3 linked regions of the Callithrix jacchus genome follow. The protein of the gene in region 3 purifies or fractionates together with the protein of the main gene of each other region. This does not show direct contact. Links are inferred from orthologs where the notes say so. Each region holds a gene or a part of one and is shown on either strand. Other genes may lie near its edges.

Region 1 (3,654 bases), on a different chromosome or scaffold from region 3:
ATTAGTATGTAGCGATTCTCAATATTTTTCTTGTTAAAAATTTATTTTTTGTTTTTCTGGAATAATGAGGGAAGTGGAGTTTTTTCTTAACTCTATTTGCCTTAACAGATTCTGATATGTAAGCTGCTTTTATTTTTTTCCCCCTTCAACCAAAAGTCATATTTTTCTCTAGCTTCCACTTTATTTTTTTGATAGCTCTACATAATGCTATAGACGTTGCTCCAAAAAAGTACTGAGTAAATTATAAGGAAAAATGTGTATTTGTTACAAGTTAGTAAGTCTAGTGGTAACCAAGTTATTAATAAAATCTGGAATAATTTCATGAAAAAAATCTATGAAAATATCCTTTTAGGCATACTTATTTAGTTATCCCTGTCCCCAAAGCCATTAAGTTAACAAGTATTTCTACCATGTCTCAGGACAGTTATAGGCCCTGTTTTCACAGAGGTTATGCTCTAGAGGCCCTTTTTTCTTCATGTGTTTGAATACCACTTCAGATGCTGACCAATCTACCCAGTATCTTCTGATTTACTTACTTTGCATCCACGCCACCACATTTGCCTTCGAAGTTGTTTGGATCTGTTGCTAAAAGCTGTTGCATTATCCGATAAGCTTTCTATATCACATAGAGGATGGAGAGAAGGATTAAACGACATAACAGGATTCTTTTATCTAGTCACACAAAGATAAGAAAATATTAATTTCTACTTCTGCAAATTGATTCCCTTTTAAGCATGAAAACAACATTCTCCCTTTTTTTCCCACCCACAAATTCTGGCATTATACATTAACAAAACAAAAGCAACAAACAGCTTACAGATCAGTTTGTGCAATCGTTTTTTATTATAAAATTAAGAAAAGTCTTTTTAGGGCCTCAATGCTTACAAATAAACTTAGGAATTCTAGTAAGAAAATACTCTTTAAAAATTCAAATACTTGGCACACCTCTAGAAAAAAAAACATGTGGAAAAGGTTCTTAAATATCAACAGTGACTGATTTTAAAGGAAAACAAAATACATTTTAAAAGTGACTAAGCGAGGTTTTTTTTTTTAAGTAAGTCTGTAAAAGATTAACCAGCTATTCAGCCATTCACCATTCAAACAATATTTGAGTGCCAAGTATGTGCCAGGTATAGGTATAGGTTACAGGTGTAACGAGTGAAAGTAAAGAAAGGTGACTAAGTTATCAAATAAAGCATAGAATAAAAATATCAGGTAAGTTAGAGACAAGTGTTGAAAAGTGGTAAGTCTTTAGGCCCTGAGATCATGAGAAACACAAAGTACATCAACATTACAGGGCAAAAGAAAAAACAGCTCTACTCTTCAACAATGAAATTTTAAACTCTTCAGAGCAAAGGAGTTAAAATTAAACCAGTAAAATCATACATATAAGAACCAAATGCCAATTTCCTAAGCCAAGATTTGTAAACACTGGCTAGACAAGTAGAAGACATAAACTAGCAAACAGAGTAATAATATCAAGAAATACATGAAGATCTGTACCTGATTTGTCCTGTAGTTCATCTAGTCTCTCCCCTCTCTCAATTACCTTTGTAATATTTTCTTGCATGACATCAATAACTTCATCCACCTGATTCTGAACACTAGGTTAAAAAAGATAATGATTTATTCTTCTTGTGAGAATGCTTACAATTTTTTTCTTCCTATCACTTGGAGCAAAAAATTTTTGGAACTTTTATTAGACATAATAAAAAATAGCAAATTCTCTCAGAATTATTCAGTTACAGAATTTAAATTGAAGACTTTGTAGCAATGTCCTTCCATTTGTGGGCTTCAGTATTCACATAATGAAAGACAATACGATATAAATTAAAGTAATATTTAAAGATAGCTTACTTTTAGCCCTACTTCTGACTTGTAACCCATAAGGAAGTTAAATGTACTGGCAGCATGCTCATTAAGCATAGAATTTAGTTAAACAGCTTCACTAAAAATGTTTCATTTTCTTTTCAACAGGCCTTTGAGGCAGCACACACAGACATCGCTGTACTCTACTTTTGCTATATATTTCATACATGTAGGCTAACAAAGTAGTTATGTTAACATACCTTTTGCTCAGGTATGGTAAAGGCTTATGATAAGTATCTAGTTTCCAAAACGGAAATGTATGGCATATTCTAAGAGATACTAATGTTCAATGGGTAGAATTCTTCACTACTCATCAGTTTTTTCTTAAACATAAACAGGGTATAAGACAACTGGGGACACCTAGGAATATTTTGAAGTACCCACCAGAAAGCAAAAAGAAAAAAATTGTTTGCTAATCCTTTATATTAGATGATATAATAGTCATATAATATCGTAATAAGATGATATAATAGTCATATAATATCATAATAGTCATATCATCTAATATAAAGGATTAACAAACAATTGAAGAACAACTGGGACCTGTTTTAACCAAATTTCAGACTGTTTAGTAAAGACTTAACCTAAACTTAAAATTTTAATAACTACAACTGGTCCTCAGGTACCTACTTTCATTCAGGAGTTACCACCAGAGTACACAAACATGGACATGGTTAATGATTTTAAGTGTCTTGTTCTCCTGTGTTGCTCTAACCACAAGACAAAAAATTATCTAAATTACTTTATGAAATAAGTCACAATAATGAAATATTTTAAAAGAGGAATAAAGCAAATCCATGGTCCTCATAACTCAAAACTGTTGAAAGTGCATTGGATTACTAGCAACTACAGGCATGTGCTACAAACATGTTGGTCAATAATAAGCCATATTTACAATGGTGGTCCCATAACTTATAATACCATATTTTTACTGCATGTTTACATATGTTTAAACACACAGATACTTACCATTGTGTTACAGTTACCTACAGTATTCAGTATAGTCACATGCTGGATGGGTTTGTAGCTTATGTGTATAGTAGGCTACACCAGGTAGGTTTGTGTAAGTATGCTCTATAATGTTCACACAGTGAAACTGCCTAATGATGCAATTCTCCAAACGTATCCTGTCATTAAGGGCCCATGATGGTATATAAACATTAAATGTGTATGTGTGTGTGTATGTGTGTATTTAAATAAATGAAAATATGCAATTGTGTTTCTAGTTGAAAAAGAAGTGTATGAGTTATCATCTAGGGGGCTTTAACAAGTTTTTACAGTACACAGATATGGTCTCTGTCCTCTATCCCACACAAGCCCCCAACGTAGTAAGTCAGGGGTAAGCCATGGTCATGTTTAATTTTGAAACAGGTCTATCCTTTCCTATCATTGAGCTAGTTCTTCAAAAAGTGTGCTTAAAAACAAAATGAAGGCCCATTTAGACATAGATGGATTCAGAAATACTCTCAGATTCAAGTAGCAATTAAAAGCTTGATGAAAGTCACCTACCTTCCATGTTAAAAGCATTATGTATACCCATCGATTACCCACACATAAACTTCAAGATTTTTCACAGCATCCCAGAGTTCTGTGCTTCCCACATATTACTCCACTGGAGGATATAAGACTGAAGCTCATCCAAGTTGGGCATGCAGAACTCTCTTCTGCCCAAACAGATCTGAAAGAACCCCTAAATCTCTAAGACTTCTTTTTGAAACTCCCAATCCCCTAGTAGAAAGTTAAATGTGTTCAAACTATTTAAGAACAATGGCACAATACACAACT
Region 2 (3,654 bases), on a different chromosome or scaffold from region 3:
TCTGCGATGCCACACAACCACAAACGCAGTGGGGGAGACGCTAATAATCTCTGCGGACTTTAAAATCAGTACACAGGCAATGGAGCAGGCCTAGGTGGTGGGGTTCAGTGCCAAGCAGTGAACACCATGTGATCTGGGGAGGACAGGACAGGTAATGTAATGTGTGTTTCCAGTTCACTCCATCTAAACAAGGTTTACTTTCGGCAAATACATTCATTCTAGCTCCTTCAAAGCTGCCCCTCAAAATCTCCCCAGACCAAACAACAGAGCGCCAAGGCCAGGCAAGAGGGAGCAGGGCCCGTGCCGGCAATTCTCAGAAGGAACTTCTGCCACACTCAGAAGATGGCAACCAGCATTGCTCCCGAGGGTGAGGGGCCGTCCCGAAACAAAGAGGGGAAACTTACAGCACCGGCACCTCGGTTACATAGATGCACCCACAGGGAGCCAAACATGACCGAGGAAGAGCCGAGACTTCCAGCCCAGAGGCCTTGCGACTTGATAAGCAAACAGGTACCCAGGAAAACAGACTTCATAAAGACAACTGGCTGAGATAAAAATATTCCTAGGAGCGGGTTCACCGCGGCACCGCCAGGGACGCCAGCTGCTCCTCTCTGAGAGAAGCAGTTCTGCACTGATGGGTGAACCCCTAGCCCAATCTCAGGCCCCACCAGCACTTGGTTCTATTCCGACGGGTGAACCAGCCTGGTGTCAGGCCCCACCAGCACTAACAAGGACCAAGACGGCGCAGCATCGCCTTCCAACCTGTCCAAAAGGGGGCTGGTCCAGTCCTTACCATATTTTTTTCTGATTTCGTCATGTCTTGTCTTCATCTCCGCTCTCCTAAAACACAGAGAAACATGATTAGCATCAAGCTACAGCATTCAGTGTAACTGTATGACATGCCCTCCGTGTCCCTCAGGAGGGGCTGCAGGTTTCTTCTGGTGGCTTCCCTCCAGTTCCCAGAGTGAAACCAGGGTAGGGACAAGCTTGGTCACTGGACCACACACCCACGAGGACAGGCAGGGTGACAGTGAACCCAGTCTTCCGAGGCTATTCCAATGTATTATCTATTCTTTTCAATAAAAGTAATTCAAATGCCCGATATTGTGATTTTTCAAAAGCTTTTTTCATACAAAAAAAAATACACCGATGAGTAAAAATCATACACCAGGTTCTGAACAGGGTTAGGAAATGCGATCATCAGTTTTACCTAGTAGCATGTGACTTCAAGGTGGATGCATGGAAAATGTGTCCTGCCTCCACCCTCACCAGCTGCCAGCTTGACTCCCTTGCCAGGTGTGGCTGACACCACCTCCTCCCAGGGCTACCCAACAGCCCCAGGAGAGTACTGTGTCACCAGGGAATGGTGACAGGAGAGCCAACCTGGCCACAAGCAGACGCTGTCCCCTCTGAGCCTCAGCTTGCTCCTGGCACATGGAGAGCCTGGACCAGCCGCCTTAGCAGCCATAAGAGACCCGTGACGCCACAGATGCGAGCCTCATTGCACGGACCGGAGGAGACAGGCAAGGAAGCCTGTGGAAGCAAGGTCCATGGCCACCGTCAGGTTCCCACCCTGTTCTCACTCTCCACCATGACCTAGAAGGTCCCCTGGGTGCTATACACATTCTTAATTTCTAAAACCTGAGGAAAACTCATGATGTATGCACGTGACTCCCATGGCCTTGGAGATGTGAATCCCCTCGAGGCCAACTTCTTCCCAGAGGGGATCGCTGCGACCTCACCGTTCCTCCTGCCGTATCCGCCTCTCCTCCCGTTCACGCATGGCCTTCTCCTCGCTCCTGTCTGGCTTCCGGCTCCTCTTCCTCCTGCAGCAGCAGCAGCAGCAGACGGCGATGCCCAGGAGGAGGGCTCCCCCAACCACCGACATGGTGATGATCAGTGCCTCAAAGTTCACTGGAGAGTCACACACCTCGAGTTAGGGCCGCCACAGACACAGAACCACCCCAGCGCAGCACCCTTCCCTTGTCCCTGGGAACCATCTCAGAACACGGGAGCATTAAGTAGTAAACGCCTCGGCCCAGCTGCTGGCTCCCGGGGTGTGGAGAGCCTGTGGCCCTGTACCCACCCCACAGCGTCCGGCCCTCTCTGAGCCTCCTTTCAGCCACAGGTTCACATCTGTGACTACCACTGATGGATTAACCACGATGAACTGAAGTGACACGGTAATCTCACTTGAGTTTGCAAAGGTATTCGAAGCACAAGAAAAGTTAACTAAATCAGAATTCTAAGCTACATATTCAGACCCTCCTAAGACATTCTAAACGCATAGAAATGGATGTGAAGCCTGATGCAGCTTTGTTTTTGTTTAAAGCAAAGTCAAGACTATTACACTTATTTACAGGAGAAAGAAACTCAGGGCACAGACTGACCGCCAGACTCAAAAGGAGTGACCTGGGAGGGGCGGACCAGGCCATGGAACAAGATGGGGTCATCCTCAGATCTGAGTATTTTGGGTTCCCTGGGGTTGAAAAAGGGCTAATCAGTACCCAACACTAATGACCTCCATAATCAACCTTCAGAGACACATGCAAATTTAAAACAAATCTTACTATTCAACTTCTTTTAAAGATCTATAAATTAAAATCAGCCAAGACTTTTCCATTCAGTTCAAACCACGGCCAGTTAGAAAATGCCCTAACACTGCTCTGCAAACGTGTTTTCAGTCATCCAGTTCAAACAGCCTCCTTGGCTGGAACACCCATAATCCCAGCACTGTGGAGGCCGAAACAAGAGTGCGTGAGTCCAGGAGTTCAACACCAGCCTGGCCAACAAAGTGAGACCCCACCCCTGCCCATTTCTACGCAAACTTTCACAAAATTAGCTGGATGCGGTGGCATGCACGTCTGGTCCCAGCAACATGGGAGGCTGAGGTGGGAGGATCGCTTGGGCTGGGAGGTTGAGGCTGCAATGAGCCATGCCTGCACTACTGCACTCCAACCTGGGCAACACAGCAAGACACCGTCTCGAAAAAAACAGAAAACACCCACCCAGTCTCCTGAAGACGCTTTATGAGCAAACTCCCCTGGGCAGTAGATAACCTATGATTCACTGTTTGTAACTCTAGTTAGTAGCTGTGCCACGCCACAGGTGAGAGCTCTGACCTCCAGGGGCTGCATGGACTCCCTCAGTCCGGCCCTTTGCTGCCGTGCGCCCTGAGATGCACTTCTAGTGGGTTATCATTTAACACAACTCATTTTTTACTTGATTAAACTAGTTTGAAAATCAGGAATGGGAGTTGCATCTGATCAAATGCCTTTTGAGCTTCTAATCCTGTTTTTTCTTTCCCTGAACCGTTCTGGAAATATCAAATTGCAAACATTACAATAATAGAGAGAATTAGAGAGGGGACCTTCATTGGCAGAAGATGTCATTTTTTTTTTTTTTTGAGACGGAGTTTTGCTCTTGTTGCCCAGGCTGCAATGGCACGATCTTGGCTCACTGCAACCCCCACCTCCGGGGTTCAAGCAAGTCTCCTGCCTCAGCCTCCCGAGTAGCTGGGATTACAGGCATGCACCACCACTTAGCTAATTCTGTATTTTTTAAATAGAGACAGGGTTTGATCACGTTGGTCAGGCTGGTCTTGAACTCCTGACCTCAAGTGATCCCCCCACCTCCCAAAGTGCTGGGATTACA
Region 3 (3,654 bases):
AAGCATCTTGATAAGAAACTGACTAAGAACAGAGCAGCAGCCCAAGGCTATAATGTAAGGCTTACTTCAAGTTGCCTGATAGAAGACTCTCTTTCATGAATAAGGCGGAGGTCATCCTCTGTAATTTCTTCATCCTGCACCTGCACTTGAGGTTGAGTTTGGCTAACAGAAAAAAATGAATGTGGAAAAAAACAAAGATTGGTTGGTATTCAAAACAATGAGACTCATTTCCTATTTAAGATATATTCATTAAATAGGAGATTTTATTTTTCCAAGTCACAGAACTTCTCACTTAAAAAATTCTAAGACTATAATAATCAAATTTTACTCATTTTTCATTTCACTTATATCATTTTATCTAATATGAGTTTAGTGTTATTACTTAATCATTGGAAGTTATATTGGGCAACTGGGTATTTCTTCTCACCTGACTTAAACCTCATATAAGGGAATGTGTCTATTAAGTCCATAAATATTTATTTGGAAAATTTTATATATAATAAATACTTTATAATTAGTGAATTTGTTTTTCAAACTTACTCTCTGTTTTCAATGTATAAAAAACTTAAGGTATTTATGATATAATATACTGAAAGTTTTAATTCTGTTCTAGGGACCTTAATGTATAAACTTTGAAAAATTACCTTTTGATCTGTAAAATATTTTCTATTTCTTACCTTTCCCAGGATACAAGATTCCTTTCTTTTGAGCTGTCCTCAGGAAAACCGCCCTGAATAATTTAGTAACAGGATGGAATGAGAAGGGGCAAAGAGAGGAAAAATAAGAAAAAATAAACAACACTCATATTTTCCCTTATGATAATCTAAACTGATTTACATATACGTGCACGCGCGTGTGTGTATGTGTGTGTGTGTGTTTGTGTACAGAGAGAGAAAGACATTCTTGTTTTAATTTTTCAGGTCAACTGTTTCAAGTAATAATATAATTATAAGTAATTTTATATTCTAAGTAGACAAGAAAGGAATTGACTAAATATTCTAAAGTGTTAGAATACTAAATATTCTCAAGTATTACTTGGTTAAAGCTTAATGCAGTCTTGGAATCCGTATGTTAAGGAATAAGAAAACAACTCATGATACTTTATAAGGGAATTTAAAATTAGATTAATTCAAAATTCTACTGAAAAGTTTCATTTATTTTCTCCAGGCTCATGTTCATTTTCAATATTCATACAACATACTTGCACCATTCATCTTTGTCATCTTGGTGTAATCCAGGAGGAAAGTGCTTTCTATATTAGTGTGTACACAAGCAGAAAGCCTCAGTGCCAAGACAATATGAGAATACTAATGAGGACTTGATCCCTAATCTTTTCTGACAAATTATGTCTCTAAATTTTTACATAATCTATAATATTCTATAAAATGACACAGAAAAAATAACCATAGTAATACATAATTATCATCCTTCTCTAAAAATGGAGAAGAAAAGCATAAAAATAAATATTCAAGTGCTGATTTCCAAGATATTCACAGATCGTATGCTACTACTGACTTTCATGGGCCCCTTAGAAAGTAATCATGTTTGGGAGGCTGAGGCAGGTGGATCACGAGGTCAATAGATCGAGACCATCCTGGTCAACATGGTGAAACCCCGTCTCTACTAAAAATACAAAAAATTAGCTGGGCATGGTGGTGCGTGCCTGTAATCCCAGCTACTCAGGAGGCTGAGGCAGGAGAATTGCCTGAACCCAGGAGGCGGAGGTTGTGGTGAGCCGAGACCGCGCCATTGCACTCCAGCCTGGGTAACAAGAGCGAAACTCCGTCTCAAAAAAAAAAAAAAAAGTAATCATGTTTATTTCTAGAATGTCTCTCTAAATACTTACAGACACTCTGGAACTGGCTCTTACTCGAGCAACAAACTCTTTCTCTCGCTCAGCAGCCTGCCTCTGGACCTTCTGGAAGTTTGTCAGTGATGTTGTGAACTCTGCCACTAAGCGATCTTTCTGTATTTTCCTTTGACGCTAGGGGTAAGAGAAAAAACAAGGCCAAGTAGAATCAAGCTGTGAAGTTCAACAGAATTTGGTAGCTGTTTTATCATTAGCTGGCTCTTTATCTAATCCTGAAGTTTTCACTTACTCCCCAATTACCAGGCCTTACGGATTAACTCTCAATAACATTCTGACAGTATGTCAAACACTGTACATATTTAACTTGAGGCAAAAGACCCATTGTGCTGGATTTGTCACCTCAAGTTTTCACGCTGCTAAACACTAGCTCATGATTTTGAGCCTATTTTAAGCAATTCCTTTTTAGACAAATAAAGCCTTATGCTTTTAGCTAAGTAATAACTTCCATTGCATAAGCAGGGAAATAAATATGTTCCCCCAGGACACCTCACATGCTGAATGAGTCTGCACGTTGCATGAAGTCAGACCTGGGAGGCCAGGAAATAATTACTCAGGAAGCATTTTCTGAGAACTTACTTAATTACGGGTCAGGGCAAATGCATGGAAATAATTTTTGCTTTATTGAACCACAGGATACTACCTGAGCAATTAAATATAGTTTTGTGTTCTGTGAACTAATGTCAAGCAGAATTATTTTTGATTTCCTTTTTAGCATAAGAGTTCAAAGATCCTACAATGCATTTGATTTTTTTCACATTCAATACATCAACAATGGGTCTTAAAGCTTCATACCTGTTCACTGGGGGTGGTGGGCAGAGATCCAAACTCTTTAATGTACTTGTCTGTTTCTTTGGCAAGCTGGTTAGTATACTGCTGCTTCTGTTGCCTGAAGTGAGAAAACACACATTATGGCCAAAGGATTAATATACTTCTTTAAGCTGCAACTCTGCCATTTAAATCAACACTGACAAATAGTTGTATAAAAATTGCCTTTGCATAAACTGGCTCTGAACTTCGTAAAAAAAAATTCATGTCCTTTTCTTTGATAAATATTGAGCAAATATTGTATGTCAGGTTCTTCACTCACACAGGTTAGCTGAGCTTAGAGAAATAAAAATCAATGACCATTTAGAAACAGATGAATCAAGTCAGAGGAAACTTGAAAAGGAGACTGTTGGACGTCTGATCCTTTAAGTTTGAGATATTGGGGATGTGGGAGCCTTTTATCCACATCTCACACCTGGAAGGTGAGGTGAGCAAGAAAAGATTTGTTGCCTTAGACTGTACCTCATTCCCAGATCTTAGTTATATCTGGCCTCTCCTATTTCTCTATATGACCATGTATATGCTATAGATACTTAAAAAAAAAAAAAAAAAAGGCCCAAGCTTGCCGGTTCATGTCTGTCACCCCAACACTCTGAGAGGCTGAGGTGGGCAGATCGTCGTAGGCCAGGAGTTTGAGACCAGCCTGTCCAACATGGCAAAACCTTATCTCTACCAAAAACAACAAAAATTAGCCAGGTACAGTGGTGCACATCTGTAATCCCAGCTACTTAGGAGGCTGAGGCAGGAGAATCACTTGAACATGGGAGGCGGAGGTTGCAGTGAGCTGAGATCACACCACTGTACTTCAGCCTGAGCAACAGAGGGAAACTGTCTCAAACAAACAAATAAACAAAAAGAAAAGAGGCAATATTGAAGCAAGTTTACAATTATTTAAGTTTGTGGTGGAAAAAATAATAGCATTTCCTTGTAAAGGGAAAGAACACAATAAATAAAAGAAG

The links.
Region 1: the proteins of STX7 (region 3) and VAMP4 purify together in Homo sapiens (affinity purification with mass spectrometry; 3 studies listed by BioGRID and IntAct, counting the BioPlex papers as one, with this or other methods). This does not show direct contact. The link is inferred for Callithrix jacchus from reciprocal best matches to the Homo sapiens genes STX7 and VAMP4.
Region 2: the proteins of STX7 (region 3) and PTTG1IP purify together in Homo sapiens (affinity purification with mass spectrometry; 3 studies listed by BioGRID and IntAct, counting the BioPlex papers as one, with this or other methods). This does not show direct contact. The link is inferred for Callithrix jacchus from reciprocal best matches to the Homo sapiens genes STX7 and PTTG1IP.

What each region holds. Positions count from the first base shown.
Region 1 is NC_133519.1:31,011,014-31,014,667, reverse strand, and holds part of VAMP4 (vesicle-associated membrane protein 4), read right to left. Parts: intron 1,605-3,654; coding exon 1,504-1,604; intron 617-1,503; coding exon 537-616; intron 1-536. UniProt on the Homo sapiens protein: Involved in the pathway that functions to remove an inhibitor (probably synaptotagmin-4) of calcium-triggered exocytosis during the maturation of secretory granules.
Region 2 is NC_133522.1:50,512,642-50,516,295, forward strand, and holds part of PTTG1IP (pituitary tumor-transforming gene 1 protein-interacting protein), read right to left. Parts: intron 1,915-3,654; coding exon 1,743-1,914; intron 841-1,742; coding exon 794-840; intron 1-793. UniProt on the Homo sapiens protein: May facilitate PTTG1 nuclear translocation.
Region 3 is NC_133505.1:139,118,000-139,121,653, forward strand, and holds part of STX7 (syntaxin-7), read right to left. Parts: intron 2,757-3,654; coding exon 2,663-2,756; intron 1,985-2,662; coding exon 1,847-1,984; intron 731-1,846; coding exon 678-730; intron 163-677; coding exon 66-162; intron 1-65. UniProt on the Homo sapiens protein: May be involved in protein trafficking from the plasma membrane to the early endosome (EE) as well as in homotypic fusion of endocytic organelles. Mediates the endocytic trafficking from early endosomes to late endosomes and lysosomes.